Linked DNA regions of Caenorhabditis elegans. The protein of the gene in region 3 interacts with the protein of the main gene of each other region in a biochemical or structural test. Each region holds a gene or a part of one and is shown on either strand. Other genes may lie near its edges. The genes, in order: flp-4, flp-1, npr-4 and flp-3.

Evidence for each region.
Region 1: of the proteins of npr-4 (region 3) and flp-4, one has a biochemical effect on the other in vitro, tested with the Caenorhabditis elegans proteins (one study listed by BioGRID).
Region 2: of the proteins of npr-4 (region 3) and flp-1, one has a biochemical effect on the other in vitro, tested with the Caenorhabditis elegans proteins (one study listed by BioGRID).
Region 4: of the proteins of npr-4 (region 3) and flp-3, one has a biochemical effect on the other in vitro, tested with the Caenorhabditis elegans proteins (one study listed by BioGRID).

What each region holds. Positions count from the first base shown.
Region 1 is NC_003280.10:10,047,153-10,054,907, forward strand, and holds the start of flp-4 (FMRF-Like Peptide), read left to right. Parts: upstream 1-1,715; 5' UTR 1,716-1,899; intron 1,900-7,472; 5' UTR 7,473-7,486; coding exon 7,487-7,636; intron 7,637-7,687; coding exon 7,688-7,743; intron 7,744-7,755.
Region 2 is NC_003282.8:9,142,651-9,146,622, reverse strand, and holds flp-1 (SQPNFLRF-amide), read right to left. Parts: upstream 1,919-3,972; 5' UTR 1,911-1,918; coding exon 1,857-1,910; intron 1,811-1,856; coding exon 1,711-1,810; intron 1,275-1,710; coding exon 1,188-1,274; intron 1,136-1,187; coding exon 1,016-1,135; intron 859-1,015; coding exon 762-858; intron 716-761; coding exon 646-715; 3' UTR 501-645; downstream 1-500. Other genes in the region: rpb-12 (DNA-directed RNA polymerases I, II, and III subunit RPABC4), read left to right, coding at 1-77, 127-149; daf-10 (Intraflagellar transport protein 122 homolog), read left to right, coding at 427-482, 2,365-2,480, 2,556-2,676, 2,809-3,028, 3,134-3,425, 3,865-3,972. UniProt on the Caenorhabditis elegans protein: Together with flp-18, plays a homeostatic role by acting on the GABAergic neural transmission at neuromuscular junctions to prevent overexcitation of the locomotor circuit. DPNFLRF-amide: Inhibits the activity of dissected pharyngeal myogenic muscle system.
Region 3 is NC_003284.9:12,548,619-12,553,210, reverse strand, and holds the start of npr-4 (G-protein coupled receptors family 1 profile domain-containing protein), read left to right. Parts: upstream 1-1,533; 5' UTR 1,534-1,571; intron 1,572-1,621; 5' UTR 1,622-1,689; coding exon 1,690-1,754; intron 1,755-4,592.
Region 4 is NC_003284.9:10,091,446-10,094,505, reverse strand, and holds flp-3 (TPLGTMRF-amide), read left to right. Parts: upstream 1-1,541; 5' UTR 1,542-1,587; coding exon 1,588-1,651; intron 1,652-1,699; coding exon 1,700-1,897; intron 1,898-1,946; coding exon 1,947-2,123; intron 2,124-2,171; coding exon 2,172-2,287; 3' UTR 2,288-2,560; downstream 2,561-3,060. UniProt on the Caenorhabditis elegans protein: FMRFamides and FMRFamide-like peptides are neuropeptides. SAEPFGTMRF-amide inhibits the activity of dissected pharyngeal myogenic muscle system.

The DNA.
Region 1 (7,755 bases), on a different chromosome or scaffold from region 3:
ATATGAAGTTTGGGTTTCCCTATAAATAAAATAGAAATATAGTGAAAACATAGTGGCAAATGATATTGAATATGCTATAGACTTGGTAGAACACATTGAGTAGTTTGATGACTCGGACGTGAATAAGTAATTTGAAAAAAATAGCTTCCGCTGACTAAGCCCCTTTTAGAATTGCACAGCATTCTTTCAGATTTTCAATAATTTAATAATTTAAAATGACGATTTCGTCTTGTTTTGCACTACTTGTAGTATTTATAGTGCTTCCCAAATATCTTGAAATGTGTAATTGAAAGCCTGCGGGTTTAATAGAAAATTAAGCAGCATTTTTCTTTTTTTGTAGATGCTTTTCAATTTTTTTGGATTTTGTGGAGATGTTATGTTCTTTAATATTTATTCAAAAAAGGAGACAACTGGTAAAGTTAAATTTTTGCATCAAAACTTTTCCGAATAGATCTGTGGTCTTTTTTGGTAAATTGCCGAGTTTTGGAAAATTATAAAATTACCAAAGTTATTAGAAAAATAGTCCAATACGAACAATTTTTTTGATTTTTCATGCCCCAATCCGGAGCCCACACAAATACTTTTGAACTACATAACCATTTCCTCAATTTCCCCACGTACAAGTGGTTGCAAATTGTGCATTTCCTTCTCCTCCGAGCAGAAGATTGTTTGGATGAGTTGTCTGGATTATTTTTGGATCAGGAGCAATTTTCTGTTTATTAAAGAAAAGCGCAGAAAATAACACGAAAAAAAAGGCTTGATTTCTTGGTTCTTATTTTGTGCATGTTTTAGCGAAATTGCAAAATGTTGACCGATCTGATTTTCATAATTAGGAAAATGTTAAGACTTACTTATCTTTAGTGATTTCCCGAGACCTACGGATTCGGATTTTATTTTTGCAAAAAAGGAAAGTAAAATGAATAATTTCAATAATTCATTTAACTGTCTTTAAAAAATTTGAGCACTTGTTCCAATATTAAAAGTGTTCTATCATTTGCGGGGTTCCCAAAAAATCCTGCTATTGTTTTTTGTGGGATTTAAACTTTTTCAGCTCTTCAAATCAATAGGCTATTGGTGCATATATTGTCTTCTGACGTTTTTTTTCAGTTTCTATATAAAATTTTTGTACTTCCTTCTAATTTGACAGAATAATTCTAAAATCACATATTTGAACTGTGGGCGCTGAATTTTTTTGAAGAGCATGAATTTGAACCCGCAGCGACGGGTCTTTATTTTACAATACAGACGTTTTCCAAAGTTTCCCGGTTTTCCCCGAATATTCCAAAAGTTTCTAGAGTTTCTAGAAGGTTCTCAACCTTTCCTAAATTTTCTAAAATAAATTCGAAAGCCAACATCTACGCAAGATAATTTTTCAGTCGAACTACGGTAGTTTTCAATCAACTTTATCTAAAAATAGCCGAAAACCCCCATTACCTCCTAGTTTGGTATTCCAAAAGATCAAACTTATTGGGGTAGTTGGACCCCCATCCATCTTTTGGCACGTTTCATTCCCGAAGTTCCGTCATAAATTCGATGTCCCCCTCCACCTAATCATTGATTCGTCATGCCTTGTCAGACAAAACCCACGTCTTCAGCTTTTTGGTCGTACCACAATTTTTTCTCCAATGATTCCATCATCATTCCTCATTCCCCAGCTCGTAAAGAACTCAATAAAACTGTCCTCTTCTTCCTCAACCCATTCCTACTTATTCTACATATATTCCAACTTCCAGTGTCCATTCCATTCTCCTTTTTTGTGCTGTCTCCTTATTCTGTTTCCTTTTTTCCCCTATTCAACATCATTCCAGTCACATTCATTTGATTGCGCACTAGGCTCCGCCTGCTCACGCCTTTCTTCGCAAATTCATATTTGGATCTCAATATTTCCGCAAAAAATTGGTAGGTTTTTTTTCGCTTTGACATCAATAGATCTAGTTGACGTGAAAAGCAAACTGGCAAAAATGTTCTTTGAAATTCATGAAATTTGACAAAAAGTTTTGGTCTAACAGCAGTATCTTGAGGCCACAATGGAGCATAACCAGAAAACGTGGTGTATCTGACTGTTTTTTTTTCTGGAAAATCTTCAATTTTTTCGAGGAACTTCTTGAAGATTGTTGTTGTTTGGTTTAGTCTACGTGACCATTTGTAGCTGCCATAGTTATTTTCATTTTTCGTTTCAGAAATCGGAAATTGGTTTTGCTTGAAAACTAGCGAAAAGTGGGCGTCAAACGATTATTACTAAACACATATTGTTGATTAACTTCTAGAGTTTTTATTGGAGTATTTGACGTTAGCCATTGCAACGTCATTCATACAAGTATTTATATAAGACAATGTACATTTTTTCGTTCATAATTTTCTTGAGGTATGTCTAGTGTCTAGTGTATCAAATTTCTAGATATGTATTGTGGATCTAAATTTAGGGTATCTCCAAAGAGTTATACAAGGTTGTTTTCCAAATTAGCACCTCTAAATAATCGAACCTACATGATTTGAAATTGCTTTAAAAAAATTTTTTGTTTGAAAATTTACCAGTTTTTCAAAACATTTACTAAACATTTATTCAATACAGTAATGCATTTCAAAGCTTTTTATGACTTGAAAAAGCTATAGAGTACATAAATCTAAGCCCAAAAAAAAAACCGCAGACTTGTTTTTTATAAATTTAAAAAATCTTGAATTCAAAACACGTGTTCAATTTTGGCTTCTTACATGTATTGTTTTTAATAAATGTTCCGATGAAATCTGCAAGCCGATTTACTAGACTTACAAGAATAATTTCTGACTATTCATTGTTAATCTATAATCTTCTTATCATGTTACATATTATCTAGTTAGTCATTTTCTTGTCTTGTTCTGTTTTCAATTTCACTCATTTGCTCTCATATTTCTTTTTCCTGAATTGAACCTTGGACGCTCAAAAGCTAATCGAAGAAAAATTGCCGAGATTCGGGAATTTTGATTGATGTTGTCGAATTAGTTGTTGCTTGTTCGAAAGTGACAACATCAGACAAAAACACACACGGATTTTGAATTATTACCTATCCATGTTCCTTTGATTTTCTATTAAATTGTCCTTTAAGGTTTCAAAAATGTTCGGAAAACGTAGGTGTAACCTGAAGAGTTAGGAGGAACGTCTATTTATGGTCCATCCAAAAATAGTTGTTGTTATTCAATTTGCGGCACCGAATCTTCAGATATTCGAAAGTTAAGAAAAACAAGAAGTTAGCTTTTAGGACTGAAAGACAGCTTCCTGCAAAAATGTTCTTCTTTTTATGGAAACTTGAGAGCCAAGTTCAAAAGATGAAAAGTTAAGTGGGCGTCTTATTTGTGTGGGCAAAAGAAACTGTAAATACATTTTTAGATTTAGTATATATGCAGGACTACTTTTCTTTCTTGTTATAGTTCTTGTATAGCATCGTCGTATGCACGCACGTCTTCAGGAGTATGTTTTGTATTCATGTTTTTACAACTTTGGCAGTAGTCATGACATATTTCCAAGGAACGTAGGTTACCTTGAAGGCAGGCAGAATATTTTCAGCATAACATGGAAGATTTAAGTTGTTGTTGAATTACGTAGACAACAAAATAACATTTTGAGAGTTCTTTCTTTGCTAATTGTATTTACGTCTCCTATAAAAATTGAGCATAGAATAAGATCATTCGTTCAGATTTTCATGCTTCTTGGATCGACTTATAAGTGTACCTTTATATTACGGGCTACAGTAAAATTTCCTTCTTTTTAATTCAAAATCTTCATTCAAACATCTAGCTGCTACACAACAGGGGTGTGAATCAAGGGCTCGAAAACTGGAAATGCCTGATAAATATTTTGCAAATTTTAATATTCCGATTTGGAAGTCGCGTAGTAAAATGGTTTTCAAGGAGCTTCGAGGTCTTCAAATGTTCTTTTTTTTTAGAATTTCAAGCTTTCACGCACTTGATTTACACTCCTGCTCCCTGACTCCATGACTGTTTGATGAGCTCTTTTGAACTTTAGTGGTTTCTGGCTTCTTCAATAGTCCAGACGTAATAAAAAGTGTCCTTCTTTAGAAAATTAAAAGTTGGAATACTTTCCTTAAAACTATGGGAGAAACTTCTCTTACTCTGAGAATTAAGAAACTGTTTATCACTATTTAAAATTCCAGTTGAAGCATCGTGATCACAAAACTCAGAGCTTTACCACAAATCCAGAAAACAGAAAAGAGTTCTTGAAAATTATAAAATCTTTACGTGGGAATCTGAATACGTAGAGAGCTCTGGAAATTTACTTCCAGATAGGAATTTCTATCATTACACCGGGAAAAATATATCAAAGAACCACCATATTTTTTTATAAAACTCTTCAAAATGTAGTACGTGACTGTAGCCCAACTACTCAATTAATTCCAATTGCGTCATTTTTCCAAAAAGGCATTTCTCAAAATTTTCTCAGGATTTTCCTTTTCAATCCATCATATTTTCCAATTATTCTCAGATCAAACCACGCACCATGACAATTTTTCCACATTTTCCAATCCAATTTTTAATCAAACTGATTCTGATAACTCATATCACACCTAATAAAGTAATTCTACACCACGAGTTTGTACGCACAAATCTACAAATTGTGACCAATATCCAGTGAATTTCTTAGTATTTTTGCATGCATTTTTAAGCACCTCCAACTGTTCTTCACATTTCTTATTATTCCGTTCTTTTTCTTTTTTCTCTGCTGGGACACATTTTCAGCGCCGTGTGACGTCATATAATTCATTGAAATTTTAGAGTTTCAATGTGGTATTAGAATTAAATGTATTTTTGCTGTACAAAGAATATTCATTTTCAAAATACTTATTAGGTTTCATTATGCCACACTACCTGACTGATCATCTGTTACAGTTACCTATGTGATGAGTTTTCGTGATAGAAAATCCGGAAAAAGACACGGATGTGATTTTTGACTATGCTTAATCCTGAGAGACATCCATTATCGCAAACAATAGAACCTAAAAGAAAAATTAGAGTTTAAGATAAATGTTAAGGTTATTCAAAAAATAGACTTTTGATCTTATTTGAAATGGCATGCGGAAGAAACTATGAATGAACGAAGTTTATGACAAAGATCTGAATCCTACGCAGTACGATAATTTTCCTGAACGAAAAACAGTAGAAAGCTTTCAAATGAAGAACATCCAAGCACATACTGTTCGCGTTATTTTACTTTGAAATGATCTCTAAAGGCCCCCAAAATGCTTACCTGCGTGCCTCTTGGACATTTTGTGATAGTTTCGATGATATGTATTTTTGTGCCTATGAATAGGCTAGGTGATAGATTTCCTTGTTTTAAGACAAACACTTCCAGCAAGCTTTTGAAACTAGACTAAACTTATCACAATTCTAATTTTATTCCTAAGATCGCATTGTCAATTCACTTTCCGAAGATCATCTCGTCCATTAAAAGATTATTCTTTTTCACAGTGTAACCTAAACCTTGATTCATTAAAACATGAAAATGTAAGCAATAGATTAATATTAATCCTAATCTTAGACTAAAGTCTGATATGTGTCGTAATAATACCCCTTTGGTATTTAGTTAAGGTTTTTTGAACTGAAGGTTTAAGTATAAATACCTAAGAAATCCACTCTTACAACATTAGTTTCAGCTTTTGAATTTGGCAAAGTGGTGAGTTCAACTTTTGACTCTGTCTTATTCATTAGAAGTTTTATTCTCCATTTTGAAAATCTATCAGCTTCTGAAATCTTATCAAAATCACTGAATTCCAGCAATTATGGAGATCAATTGACAATCTACATACATGAATAGGTAGGCATTTTTTGCCTACACTCAACAAAGTTTATGACCACGTTCGAGACAGTAAATAGGTGATTTACTAATTGAAGTTAACCCGTCACTACCGTAACCCTAGAGACCAATAGATATAGACACAAACTAAAAACCAAAGGATTATATTTCATTGAAAACCAAAACGTCTGTAATAATTTCTTTAGACACATAAAAGAAGCTCGACTAAAAAATATTAGTTATTTTAGAAGCTTAAGTCTATAATTAATCCCTTCCGAGGAGGTTAATGTGAGTTTGAAGTTTTAATAAGGATCTTTTATAAATTCGTATTGTTTACAAACTTATAATTTTTGATCCATCGGATAACAGAACATGGATTCAACGCATAATATCTGAAATTGACAAGTTTGAAAAATTTGGCTGGCTCTAAAGATTTAGTTCTGGTGTTTTTTCCAGCTATCCTTTAAGCTTCAGAAATTTGTTTGGAGAACCATTGATTTTTGTTTAAATTTCATAGAACTACTTCTAACGGACCACCAGCATAATTTTGAACCCTTGACGTCAGACCACACCCACATTTCCTTCTTTTCCAACAGAAATTATGCAAAATTTGAAAGTTCAAGAGACTTCACCACTCAAATGCTCATATCGGGTGTCCAATCAGCTCGTATAATGTTCAGAATAGTTCTCATGTTTCATTACTTATTATAAAAAAGGTCTTTCGGTCTTTCACTTCTTACGTGGGGGCTCAATGTCTTCCAGGAATCGGGCGCACCGGTCTTGATGTTCTCCGAGATATTTCTTTGCATTATTGATACGTTTTTTTAAATTTTCTTTCTTCTCTCTTTGACGTGCGTTTTTGTGTCATTGGATATTTAAATAAAATATTACGATTAGCCAATAAATAGTATTTACCGTATTTTTAATTAGTCCCAGGGTGAACAGTATAAGAGAATAATTGAAAACTTTTTAATCAACTCAATGATAATTTAGAATAATCCCGATCAATTTTCAATCTCCAACCTTTTCCGAAAACTATTCCACACGCCTCATTGCAGATGTTTTTTTTTGAGAATTGAACCAAAATGTCTAGATAACAAAAATCAGCTTGCACAGGAAATATTTAGCACGTCAAAGTTTTCAAAAATTACGTCAAAATGTTGAAGATGCGTCAGTTGAGAAACATTGGTGATTGAGTTTTTGAATAAAAGGCTTGAAGTTTGTGAAAACGGATGTGCGTTTTTGTTTTTTAGGAAACCTATCACTTTTAGACACCAGTGAAATGTTATTTCCTCTATTTTTGGAGAATTATTGAAGTACAATTGTTTCATGGTATTTTCCAACTGAACGTCAATTTTTTTTTAAACAGGTAAACCAGAAATGCCAAAAAAGCAACCAAAAAAAGTGTTCGAATTTCGTTTTCAGGCGAAACAAAAATTAAAAAATTTTGAGCTGGGTGCGGCCAAACTTTGGGCAATCCCGGTTTATTCACCCTTTGTTTAAGTTAATATTGATAAATTACTTGTCCTCTAATTTTTTAATCCAACCATTATCAACGTCACACTGACTCCACCCCTTTATCAATTGTTCTCCGTTTCTTTTAAAAGCACCTGCTCAACCTTTTCGTCGCATAATTTTCCGCTTCAAGCTCCCCCTTCCCCTTCTTCATTATTTCTGCAATTTTCAGACAACTACAGCGACATGAACGCCTTCTCCTCTTCCCTTAAAACATTCATCTTCTCCTTGCTTTTTGCCACGTTGCTTGCACTCACAGCAGCTCATCCACCGTCATCTGGTGAAGAAATTGCTGAGCAAGAAGAGAAGAATATTGCAAGTCCAGATGAACTTATTGTAAGATTTTTAAAAATTGAGAAAAGTTATAAAAATAAATGAATGTTTCAGCCGGAAATTGTCGAGCAGCAAAACTTCTGGCCACCAGTGCATCTTCGTGGATTACGGTAAGTAGAAAA
Region 2 (3,972 bases), on a different chromosome or scaffold from region 3:
TGAAATCAAACCGAAAGACGCCATTCGCTGCAGAGAATGCGGATATCGTATTCTATACAAGAAAAGATGCAGAAAGTGTAAGTTTTAAATTGTATAGAAAACAAAAATTCATTTTTGAACTTTCAGTGATGGTGTACGACGCCCGCTAATGAACCTGGCTGAACCTGTATCATTTTGTTGAATTTTAAATTTCATACTTGATCTTCGTATTTTTCTCATTTCATCACTTTCAAAAGCGATGAATTTTTCGAATTTTAACCGTTAACAATAAATCGTCGTTCTGCTTAATGACAGGTGTTCTGCATTCTAAGCACACAAATTAAGGACAAGAGCACCCGTGCGCCTGTGAATCTCCATAGCAACCAATGCTTTTCAACGCAACTCAGGCATTTGCTTGTTCTTGTCTAGTTCCACTTATTTTATAAAATGCGACCAAATTTACTATGGGTCGACAAAATTTTAGACGAAAACAATGAAGCTGGGTGAGTTGTTTAAAATTTCAAAATATTTCTTTCATTTTCAAAAACAAATGACACTGAAAGATAAAAAGACGAAAAGAGAATAGAGAAAATAGAGAAATTGTTCCTGAATTAGCTGCTGTGTGAGTGTGATCGATCTGATGCTGACGGTCGAAGTTTTAGTTTCTTATTTTCCGAAACGAAGGAAATTTGGCTTGCGGGATTCACGATCGAAGTTGTCGAATGAGCGTCCGAATCTGAAGAAATAATTTGATAATATTATAATTTTTGTTTTTAACATACCTCAAGAAGTTAGGATCTGCAGATCGTTTTCCGAATCTCAAGAAATTTGGATCAGCAGCGGCTTTTCCAAATCTCAAGAAGTTAGGGTCACTTCGACCTGAAAATGATTATCATTTAGAATCTTGATTATTTTCTATTTTGTTCCCTAACTGACTATCTTTATGAGAGGAAGCTTTGTTTGCAAATAAACTGAAATTTAGTTCGAATCGTTAGATCTGAAATGTTCTTCAAATCCAATCCATTCAAATACTCACCGAAACGAAGGAAGTTCGGGTCTCCGCTAGCCTTTCCGAATCGCAAGAAGTTTGGTTGAGATCGTCCGAATCGAAGGAAGTTCGGGTCTGAACCGGCTTTCTTTCCCAGCGACTTTACAGCTAAAAGAGCACCAAGTTGTGCTCTTTTTTATCAGAAAAAGGTTAGACTTACCTGCTGATCGCCCATATCTCATAAAGTTTGGCTTTCTCTTTTCCATCTTTTGCAGTGCCACCTCGGCATCACCATCGCAGTTTTCACCTGAAAATGAGGAAATATTATGAAAATTCATCAGATACCTTGGCAGGAAGGCGTTGCTTCAGACGAGCTTGCATGCCTTATGCCTGCCCGCCTATCTCTTATTTTGTACATTTAGGCGCAAAGTCTTGATTTACGCACAAGGTTCAACGAACACCCGTGCAGGCATGAGGCAGGCGAGACAGGCCTTTTTGTGATTACATAGCGGGTTTTCTAACGACCAAATATTCTAACAAAGACCCTAATTATAGAGTTAGAATATGTTTTCAGTTGATCTTAAGTTAAATTTTGAAATCAATCTAATTAAATGTTATAACCATGATTTTCCCCGTATTTGGAAGTTTTTTAAATCATTATCTAAATAACCTTATCAATTGTAGGCAATATTTTTTAAATGAATAGTATACTAAACCCTTCAATGAAATCAAAAGGAACAAACCTATAAAGTTCATCACTTCATTTTGCTCCATGGTGGAGAGCATCGAGAAGACCGTACAAAAGTCTGAAGTGGCTCCCGGTGTGCAACATTCTGCCGACACCTGAATAATAATTATAATTTTGAAATTATTAAATCAAGAAAGAAACCTTATAAGTAGCTGCCACAAGGAGTAATAACCCTACTTGGTAGAGCAGAGTCATGATAAAGTGAAGAAAACCAATGAAGATGTGAGCTATTTATAAGCCTTCTTTGCAAGTACCGTATCCAATCTTGAACCCCCCATGATGAGTATGAGTAGGATGATGATGATATTTACCACAAATAATTAATTTGATTTTAATATTCATATTGTATTTCTTGCATCTGGGGTCCGTAAGACGTGCTTGACGAGGACTAATTCCATTATGTTTTATACATCCAAAACGGGACACATTCTATGGATTGGAATTTCAGGAAGATGATGACGATGAAAAAGATTTCAAGAAAATTAGGCTTCCATGGGGAACAGTTTTTTTTTTTGGGTTTTTAGGAATTCCTTCAAAAATTGTGAACAATTAAATAGCTAGATTATCATTTTACCACATATTTTTTAAGAACCGGAAAACCTCAATTATAATTTAAAACGTATCATTTGAAATAGAAATTAATTTCCAGAGTTTGCATTTATGATCTCGCATTCAAACCAGATGGCTCTGAACTTTTGTTGGCTGCAGATAACAAAGTTTACTTGTTTGATGTTAATGAAGGTGGTCAAATGCAAACTTTGAAAGGTAAGTACGTTTTAAAATTATTTAGAGTAAGAATTCATTGAGCCCTTCTCTAACTCTAAATCAACTGAATTTCAGGACACAAAGATCTAGTATACACAGTCGCATGGTCACATAATGGCGAACTATTTGCATCAGGTGGTGCTGATAAATTGGTAATTTTGTGGAATGAGAAACACGAGGGAACTTTGAGATACAGGTTGGAATTTTTCCGAACAGACTGAGAATCTGGCTATTGCCATATTTTTTTAGCAAATTGTAGTTTTACAATTTTTGTTGAAAATTCAAAATTCGTAATACGAAATTGCAAAAATGTAATTATAAATTTCAGTCACACAGACGTAATCCAATGTATGATGTTCAATCCATGCAATCAAATTCTATTAACTTGTGCATTGAATGAGTTTGGATTATGGTCCACTGCTGATAAAAATGTGATAAAACAAAGAAGTGTAGTGAGATGTTGTAGTTGTGCATGGAATACAGATGGTACCATATTTGCAATAGGTCATGGAGATGGTACAATCACACTGAGAAAGGGAACTAATGCGGTAAGAAAATATTAATATCATTTCAATTTCAGAAAATGTACATATTTTACCGCAAATATTAGTTTAAAAAACGATATTTAAAATAGTTAATACATTAATTTAAAGACCGAGGAACCGTCAATAATAATTCAACGTGATAATGAACCAATTTGGGGTATTGCATTCTCATCAAATCGCACATTTGCATCAAGAGATTCACAAGGAAATCCAATGGGTATTGATGAAATAATGGCTGTAATTGATTGGAATAAGACACTTTCTTTTTATTCACTTGATGGAACGTTTATTGAATCAAAGAATTTGGAATTTGAACCGCATTGTATCAGTTATTGTTTAAATGGAGAATATTTATTGATTGGTGGATCGGATAAGATTCTAAAAATATACACAAGGAAAGGTCAGTTTTGAAAAAGGGAATAATTTTTTAATTTACAGGGAAAGCATTTCAGATCTCAATTAGACTTTTTTTTAATGAAACCTACGTTATTTGAAAGAGGAACTTCACACTAGGTCTCTGCAAAAAATTTAGCACTGAAACATTTTTCATATTTTAATTTTATTTTAATTTTTAATTCATATTTTAATTTTATTTATTTACTTTTTTAAAAATTCTTTTTGACTGAACCTCTTTCTATAATAGTGAACGTACTCCACTGCTGCTAAAGTAAGTTTTTTGCAGGAACTTAGTTTGGAGGCCCTTTTTCAAATAAACTAGGTTTCTTTCAGATGTCAAATCGTGACCTGAAATAATTGCCTTTAGTAAGTAGTTGTAGTAGGGAATTGAAAAATTAATTCCCACAATATTGAATGATCGACTGTTGAAAATAAATTTATAGGAGTACTTCTCGGAACAGTTGCTCAAATGGATCATTGGATTTGGTCAGTGACAGTACGTCCAAATTCTCAAACTGTTGCCATGGGATGTGTTGATGGAACTATAGCAT
Region 3 (4,592 bases):
AAAAACAAAATTATAAATATCTGTGCAACAAGCCCACAAACTTTTCACTGACTTTGTTGTTTTTATGGATAATTCCAGTGTTTCTTACTAATTTATAAACGCTGATAAATAGTTATGTATTTTGAAAGCAGTCTCTGAAAAAAAACACGATATTAAATCAAAAAAATTTTACAAAAAAGCAAAAAGATTTGATATACATAACATTGTAACAGAATTTACGGCCTTTCCAACAAAACAAGTTTCTGTTGTCTTATAAAAATTATTCCAAAGATCTGGGAAAGTTCATTCAATATCCCCAGCGCTCATTACCATTTTCTTACGCATCGCACTTGGTCTCCGAACCTTCATTGCATTCACCTGAATCTTAGATAGCAAATGACGAAATCAGCCCAATCCTCCAATCATCCAATCGCAGACTTGAATAATCAACGCAACATTTGCACATCCTTAGAGGTCATCCCCGCATGACTCTATCATCCTTTTCTCCGAACCTTTTTTCCTCCGCTCTCCGCCCTCCATTCTTCTTTTTCCTGGCTTCAATCCCTTTTTTTACAACCAAATGGACCCTCTAAGACAATTGAGCAACGCCTGCGGAAGAAGGGCAAGCCAATCTGCAGTCGGTTGGTCCTTTTTTATTATTTACCTTACACTTGTTTCCGTTTTAATTGTTGCGATCTTTGTACAAGAAGAAAATCATGTTGGTTTTTGATGAAGTGAGTTCGGAGTTCGAATTGTTCTTTCAACTCCAAAAATCGAAGCACTTTTGTTTTATATTTTCGGTTTCACAGTATAACAAAAATTTGTTTGTAGAGTCATGTTTAGATTAGTATATAAAAATGTTAAATTCCACAAATTTGATTGAAAAACAAAAGTAGTGATTATTGTTTGTGTATTTCTCGAAACTTATTTTTCCAATTGTAAGGAAATATGAAATCAACTAATTCTATGGATAACATATAATTTAGTTTTAATTTGAAAAATAAAATAATGTTGTAGAACTTTAATGTAGTACACATTGAAAAAAAATAGGTTTGGCGGTAAAGCTTTCTAGTTCACCCATCTTCAAGTAATGCAAAATTGAAGTTTTCTTACCTGTTCTAGTTGGTTTTGAAATTCTCCTTAAACAAATTAAAGATAATTTTATTCAATTAAAAAATATTTTCCAGTATTTGACTTTTCACCAAAGTTAAAACAACTTGAAAAAAAGTTCAAGGTGTTTTCACATGTTCTAGTCTAGACTAGTTTCTTCAAAAGTGAAAAGACTTACAAAGGCAAAAATCCTTTGTCATTGTAATCCTCCGCCATAAAATTTTGTTTGTTTTTTTCTAAGAATCTGAAAATTAACTTTTCCGCCTGTCTTGCTCCATTTTTCTCATTCCAACTCGATTAGTTTATTGCATTAGTGCAGAATGTACAAACGTTTCTGAAAACAAACGCTTTTGGTGCCAGATGTTGAGGATAATATTAATCTTTTCTCACAATTTCTTCTTGTCCATTCTTTCTTTGAATTTATCTAAATACAATTTGTTTCAGCCCAGCTTGCCTTGGCACCAGGCTCTCATTTAATCACGGTAAGCCTCTCGGTCACTGTAAACTATATAACCAATCGTTTGATTTTCAGATATCAACACAAAGTTTACGGAGAATTGCAACTGAAAAGTTGTTAGGTGAAGACACATATACAGAACAATGTTACTGGAAATTGGCACAATAACAATCGGGAATATAACCCGAGCAAGAAAGTTTGGAGAAAGGTAAGTTCCTGAAAATGGAAAATGGGTCCCCCTCCGCATTTCAAATGAGGTGTCTATTAGTTTCTGGGAAAGTTGAAAGAGAAACCCTCCCACAACTCAAGTGTTAAAGTTCTAAGCCCAAATTCAGACACTTGTGAATATTAGATTATTGCCTATTTTGACGAGCTATGGTAAAAAAAACAACACTAATTTCGAGTGAAAACTCCAAAATTGTGGTGCACTTGTCACACCATCACTCATTCTCTGACAAATCTCGATTGTGTTTTTGAGCCAACCAGCTCTTATTCGTCGCCGTCAAAACTTTCTTAAATTGAAATCACATCTCGAAACCTTCTTCCGTTTTGCATAAAATTGAATTTAGTTCAACAAGTTTAAAATGCCACCCCTTTTCTAGAAAACAAATGATGACGTTTTCCACGTTTCTCAGTTGAGAACGAGTCATGCGACTTTCAATTGGTGAAGTTCTTTTTTTTTTCTTCTGAATTGGTGTTTTTCCATTACCAAAAAAAAAAGGGTTTTTGATCTTTAGATCAACATTCTCAATTTTTCGGTGCCAATCAAGATTCTTGGTGCATTGCGTTAGACAATACTGAATTGCAGCTAATCATGTAAAACAAGAAACAAATCATTGGCAAAATTGAGAAATTGTACCCAGTAAAACTAAAAAATATGGATCAAAGGGTGGTGTGAGTTTGTTGGGTGTTTTTCGCAGATCAATGGCAATTCGTTTGTGATTTTGAAAAAAATCGCTACAATTGTGAACATTGCTCTTTTTGACTTTTTGCTAACGATTTTACAATAGCTCAAATGTTGAACTTTTACTTTTCAAGATTCTTATAGTAAGACTTTTCTTGAACGATTTAATCTAGATTTTTTGGATCCAAAAACAGTATTCCTCTTACTCGTTGTACTTTTTGGCACTTCATTCTCCTACGGACCAACCACTTCATCTTTGCAACTTTTCGCTGACCTAAGATAATCAAATTCCTTAGAAGGAAGGAAAACTTTGAAACTTTCTCCCGCTCTCTCGAGTTTTTTATACCACCCACCTATAGTTCCTCTCTGTCTCTCTCTCCGTACTCATTTCATTAATGACGTTTTAAAATAGAGCCGCTAAAGAATTGATCTTATATATTAGGAGAGAAACGCATAGTGTTCGATCTTTGATGCTCAAAGCTCAAAATGTTAAAAATGCCAGCATGGTGTTATTATAATGTATCTGAAATACAAAATTAGAAGGTATCTGCAGAAATGCTGACGTGAAATGTGGGAAGGGGAAAGAGGAAAAAAGTTTTTACGATTGGTTGTGAGTAGGCGGAAAGATATGTTGTACAGCCAGTGGGGACATGATTAAAACCGTTTAATATTGCAAAAATGATAAAATATTATGATAAACTTTTCAAAAGCTATTGAAATTTTTTTTTACTCCGAGTCAAGATTTCAAAAATTTCATTTTGATATTTGGTAATTTTAGCACCACTATTGTAATGGTTTTCAATTATTTTTCACCTACCGTACTACAGCTTTAAGATTGTCACAGCACTCCGCTTTTTCTTTTGTTTCCTTTGAACCTGCTGAAGAACATGATTTTTTTTCCAAAATCTTTAATAATTTGCAATATTACCGTATACATATTTCCTGGTTGTTACGGACCTCAAAAATAATTTTCAGTTTATATAATTGTGATGTGCTTTTGTTTTGAAAACACCACATTGTCTAGCCCATTTGCTTTTTTTAAATGAATTTTTTATGAATTATGAAAACTACTTCCACTTAAAAAATCAGTGGTTCTGGGAAAATAACCATTTATTTCATTCCGTCTTCTTGTTTTTTTGACCGCGATGAACAAATACAAAATGAGAACATTAAAAGAAAACCAAAGTCACGAGACAACGTAGGCACCCAATTGTCTCGTAATTTATGAAAACACCAGTCACCAACCTAGAAGTACACCTTTTAGCCGGTCCCGATGAGGAAAACAATGAACAAAGGTTGAAGTTTTGCTATATGCATGTTTGACGCAGTCTGGCTTGTCCGGAACAAGATGTGCAATAGATTCGAGCTTTTGCGAATATTTTGGAAGAAATAGTAAATGGCCCGATATATCTAGATGAGACTTGGACGGAGGAGTAAAGTGGAAATTCGTTTACTTCATTCTATTTTGTGCTTAAAGAAGATATTTATCTGAGAAGCGTTGGGAAATGCATTTAACGGAAAAAGCCTTTCACATTCAAATTTTAATTTTCGATTCCTTGGCCAAGTTCATGTTGCGCTGCGATAGGCTTAGTATAATATTTTCGGAAGTTATTTGCATGTTCAGCAGATTGCGTCACAAATGCCATTTGTCCGATCAATTGAGCTTATTTTTATGTTACTATTTGGGAGGGTTGAGTAAGAAAATGCTAACTAACATCGTTTTTTGTCTTTTGAGATTTGAGAAATTTCTTATTTGCTTTCTCATCATTCTTTGTATTCTCAAAAATGAATGTGAACCTTGGAAAACGCTTGTAAGTTTTTTTTGATTCTTGAAGAGTTGAAACTGGGCAATTTTTCAAATTTATAGTAACTCGCAATGTTTTGAGAAATTTTCAATTTTCGGTTCTTTTTGAATATTACACATTCTACGTATTAGTTTCAATTTTCAAAATTGTTTAAAACGTTCATAATACACATTTCTCCCTAGAAAGAATGTTTAATTATTTTGTAAAGGTTCTCCCCAATTGATCACAAAAACATGTTGCGCATTCTGCTCAACTTGAATGCTTGTATCAATTATGAATGATGGTTTAATTTGAGTATTCACGCGCAAAAAACGTGAATCATGTTTTGCAATTTCTC
Region 4 (3,060 bases), 2.5 Mb from region 3:
CATTTTTTAAACTATGTTTCCTATAACTTCGAATAAAGTGGTTGGGTTCCGCATGGAATAATAGCCCATCTGTTAACCAAGTCTTACGTTTTCTTCGCGAACAAAGGAAACGACTACTGGCACTGAATTTCAGATTTTAGCCAGATTAGGTCAGAAAACGAGGCACACTATTTTCAAGATCAAAATTTTAAAATTCAGTCTTGCTAGTTCTTCAAAGAATTGTTTCGGAAATGTCAATGAGTGCTCATAATTAAACATGTGGAGTGACTTTGGAAGGTGCTAGAATTTCCAAGAAGCTTTGATTTATTAGTTTTCGTTTTAATTTCAAAACACTGTTCAATCTTGAGAACAAGATTAGTTCAACCTACTTAATCATTTCTCGCGTTCTGACAAGTGACGTTTTTGACAAAAAATAATGTTTAATTATTCAAAAACAGAAAATCCCCCCTCCTTAAAGCTCAGTTCATTAATCAGCTTCGCTTCACAAATTCGACAAGGTGGCATCTCAACCAACAGGCACCAATCGGATTCTGTCATTTCTTTCTTTTTTGAGAACAAATGTCTATCTACGTTTTGAACTAACACCAGTCCCGGTTTAAATTTCGTACCTGACAATTATCAATCAAGACTTACATTTGACTAGCTGTGCACGCAAAGATTTAATAATTGGCGGTGGGCTGTGTGAGAGTTGATGTCACAAAGTTACAGTATCCCATCAAAAAAATGGGTTCGAGTCGTCATTCTCGTTATCCATCTAGGCTTGAATTATGATGTTGAACATCAAAATTTATAGGTTTTTCGAGAGATCCCACCTCTTCCGTTAACCGCCGCCCCGTTTCAACACAATTCTTTCAGTTTCAAATTATTAACCTGAACTTTGAAAACTACCACCTACGCTTCTTCTACTAATTTCGAGTGTCTTTTTAGACTCAATTATCTTATTTCTTTTCTTAGAGTATTCCAAAAATGTCACATGACGATGCATAAATTGAGGTGCCACCGTTTTTTAATAGAAACTCTGGCCGCAATAAAAGAGCAATAGCATTGTTACTTGGCAATTTGTTTGAAGGAGTGTTGGGCGGCGGTAGACGTCGTACGTCAAATCGTGCATTTTCGAAGTCTTTTCTCGACACAATAGTAATCGTTTGACCTGTGCATTGCAACATCAAGGGACCACTTACTTTTTAGAAACCCGCCCCTTTAAACCAAATTGCCAACGCCTCCAATTTTTACCTGACAATAGAATGTACCGAGTACTTATTAAACAAAGTTGTTCGCCAAAGCTCAGATTTTCAATAATTTTTGAGCACCGGATTTCAATTTTACTCGTTTCACATGAACATTTTTCTAACTGCACACAGTATTTACGCATTCCTGACCAAATTTCTAAAACCCCACACACCTCTTCCGGCATGACAACTGAACCGTTAAAATTGTTGAAATTAAGCTCATATAAAAACATGCAAATATCTCGGCGGTTCACAACCTCACTTCTACTTCTTCTTGACTAAATTTTCCGTAACTAATTGTTATATTTTAAGGTACCCCTTGTGTGTTAGCTCCCGCGTAACACCACCATAACCACCAATGATATCGCCCAATCACCTCATCCTGCTCTTCTGTGTGAATTGCGCGTTTTTGGTAGCGTCGGGTAGGAGAATAGAAATTATGTTTTTGAAATAGAATGAAAAGTATTTAGATGCCACACCAAAACGGTCTCCACTGGGAACAATGCGCTTTGGCAAACGAGCCATTGCTGATGAAATGACATTTGAGGAGGATGGATACTATCCGTCAAATGTAATGTGGAAGCGGTCTACTGTTGATTCTTCGGAGCCCGTCATTCGTGATCAGCGCACTCCATTGGGAACTATGCGTTTTGGAAAACGAAGTGCAGGTATTATACAAATAATTAATTTTCAAAAACTATACCCACCTGTTTCCAGAGCCATTCGGTACTATGCGTTTTGGAAAACGTAATCCTGAGAACGACACACCATTCGGAACAATGAGATTTGGAAAGCGTGCTAGTGAGGATGCTCTGTTTGGAACCATGCGTTTTGGAAAGAGAGAAGACGGTAATGCGCCATTTGGAACAATGAAATTTGGGAAACGTGAAGCAGGTATACAGTTCTGTACTAAAGTTTGATTTCACAATGTTATGCTTTTAGAAGAGCCACTTGGAACTATGCGCTTTGGAAAAAGATCAGCTGACGACAGTGCTCCATTTGGCACAATGCGCTTTGGCAAAAGAAACCCTCTTGGAACCATGCGCTTTGGAAAATAATTTCTATTTTCACTTTTCACGTTTATATTATTCTCGCTTCAACTAAGTTTTCATGTTCAACACCCCCGCAGCAGTGGCACTCTCTTTTAACATTATTTATCATTCTGGCTTCTAATTCATACCAAAATATACCGAAACGATTGCATAATTCTTGGGCTTTTGCAAAAAACTAAGGAAAAACGACTATTCCATAATACCCCCTTCTCTGTTCTTCTCATCAAGTGGTTTGCATAGATTGGAGAATAAATTAATGTTATTATTCACTTTGTTAAATTTTGTTGTTAGTTGTTCACGCTTGACCAAAATAGTTAGCTAGCAAACTGTAAGATTCTCAAATTTAGTCTTTGCTTTTGATGGAGAAATTCTCGAACACAATTTCATGGTTCGCTCGTCCGCTTTCATCATCCGATTGGCCAAAACTTCCGGTGTTTTCCCCTTTAGACACTTGAAAACAAATATGAATTCGAACATTTCAGATGTTTACAGAAGACCAACATGTGCCAACCAATGAATGCGTGGAAACTGCCGGCTTCTTAAAGAAGTTTACTCAGCCTACTCACAATAGAACTATCACTAAAGCACAGAGTCAAGGAAAAAAATATTATGGATGAACTGCAAATTAAAAATAAAACGCTGAATGTTCACAATAAACGCATATTTTCCCTTTTCTGCTTATTCGTTTTGTTCTTATTCTGAACAGTCATCGTTACTAGTTCACAATGTTATCTGTTGCTTCATTTTTTGTATATTAAAAATGGAGTTATAAAATGCAG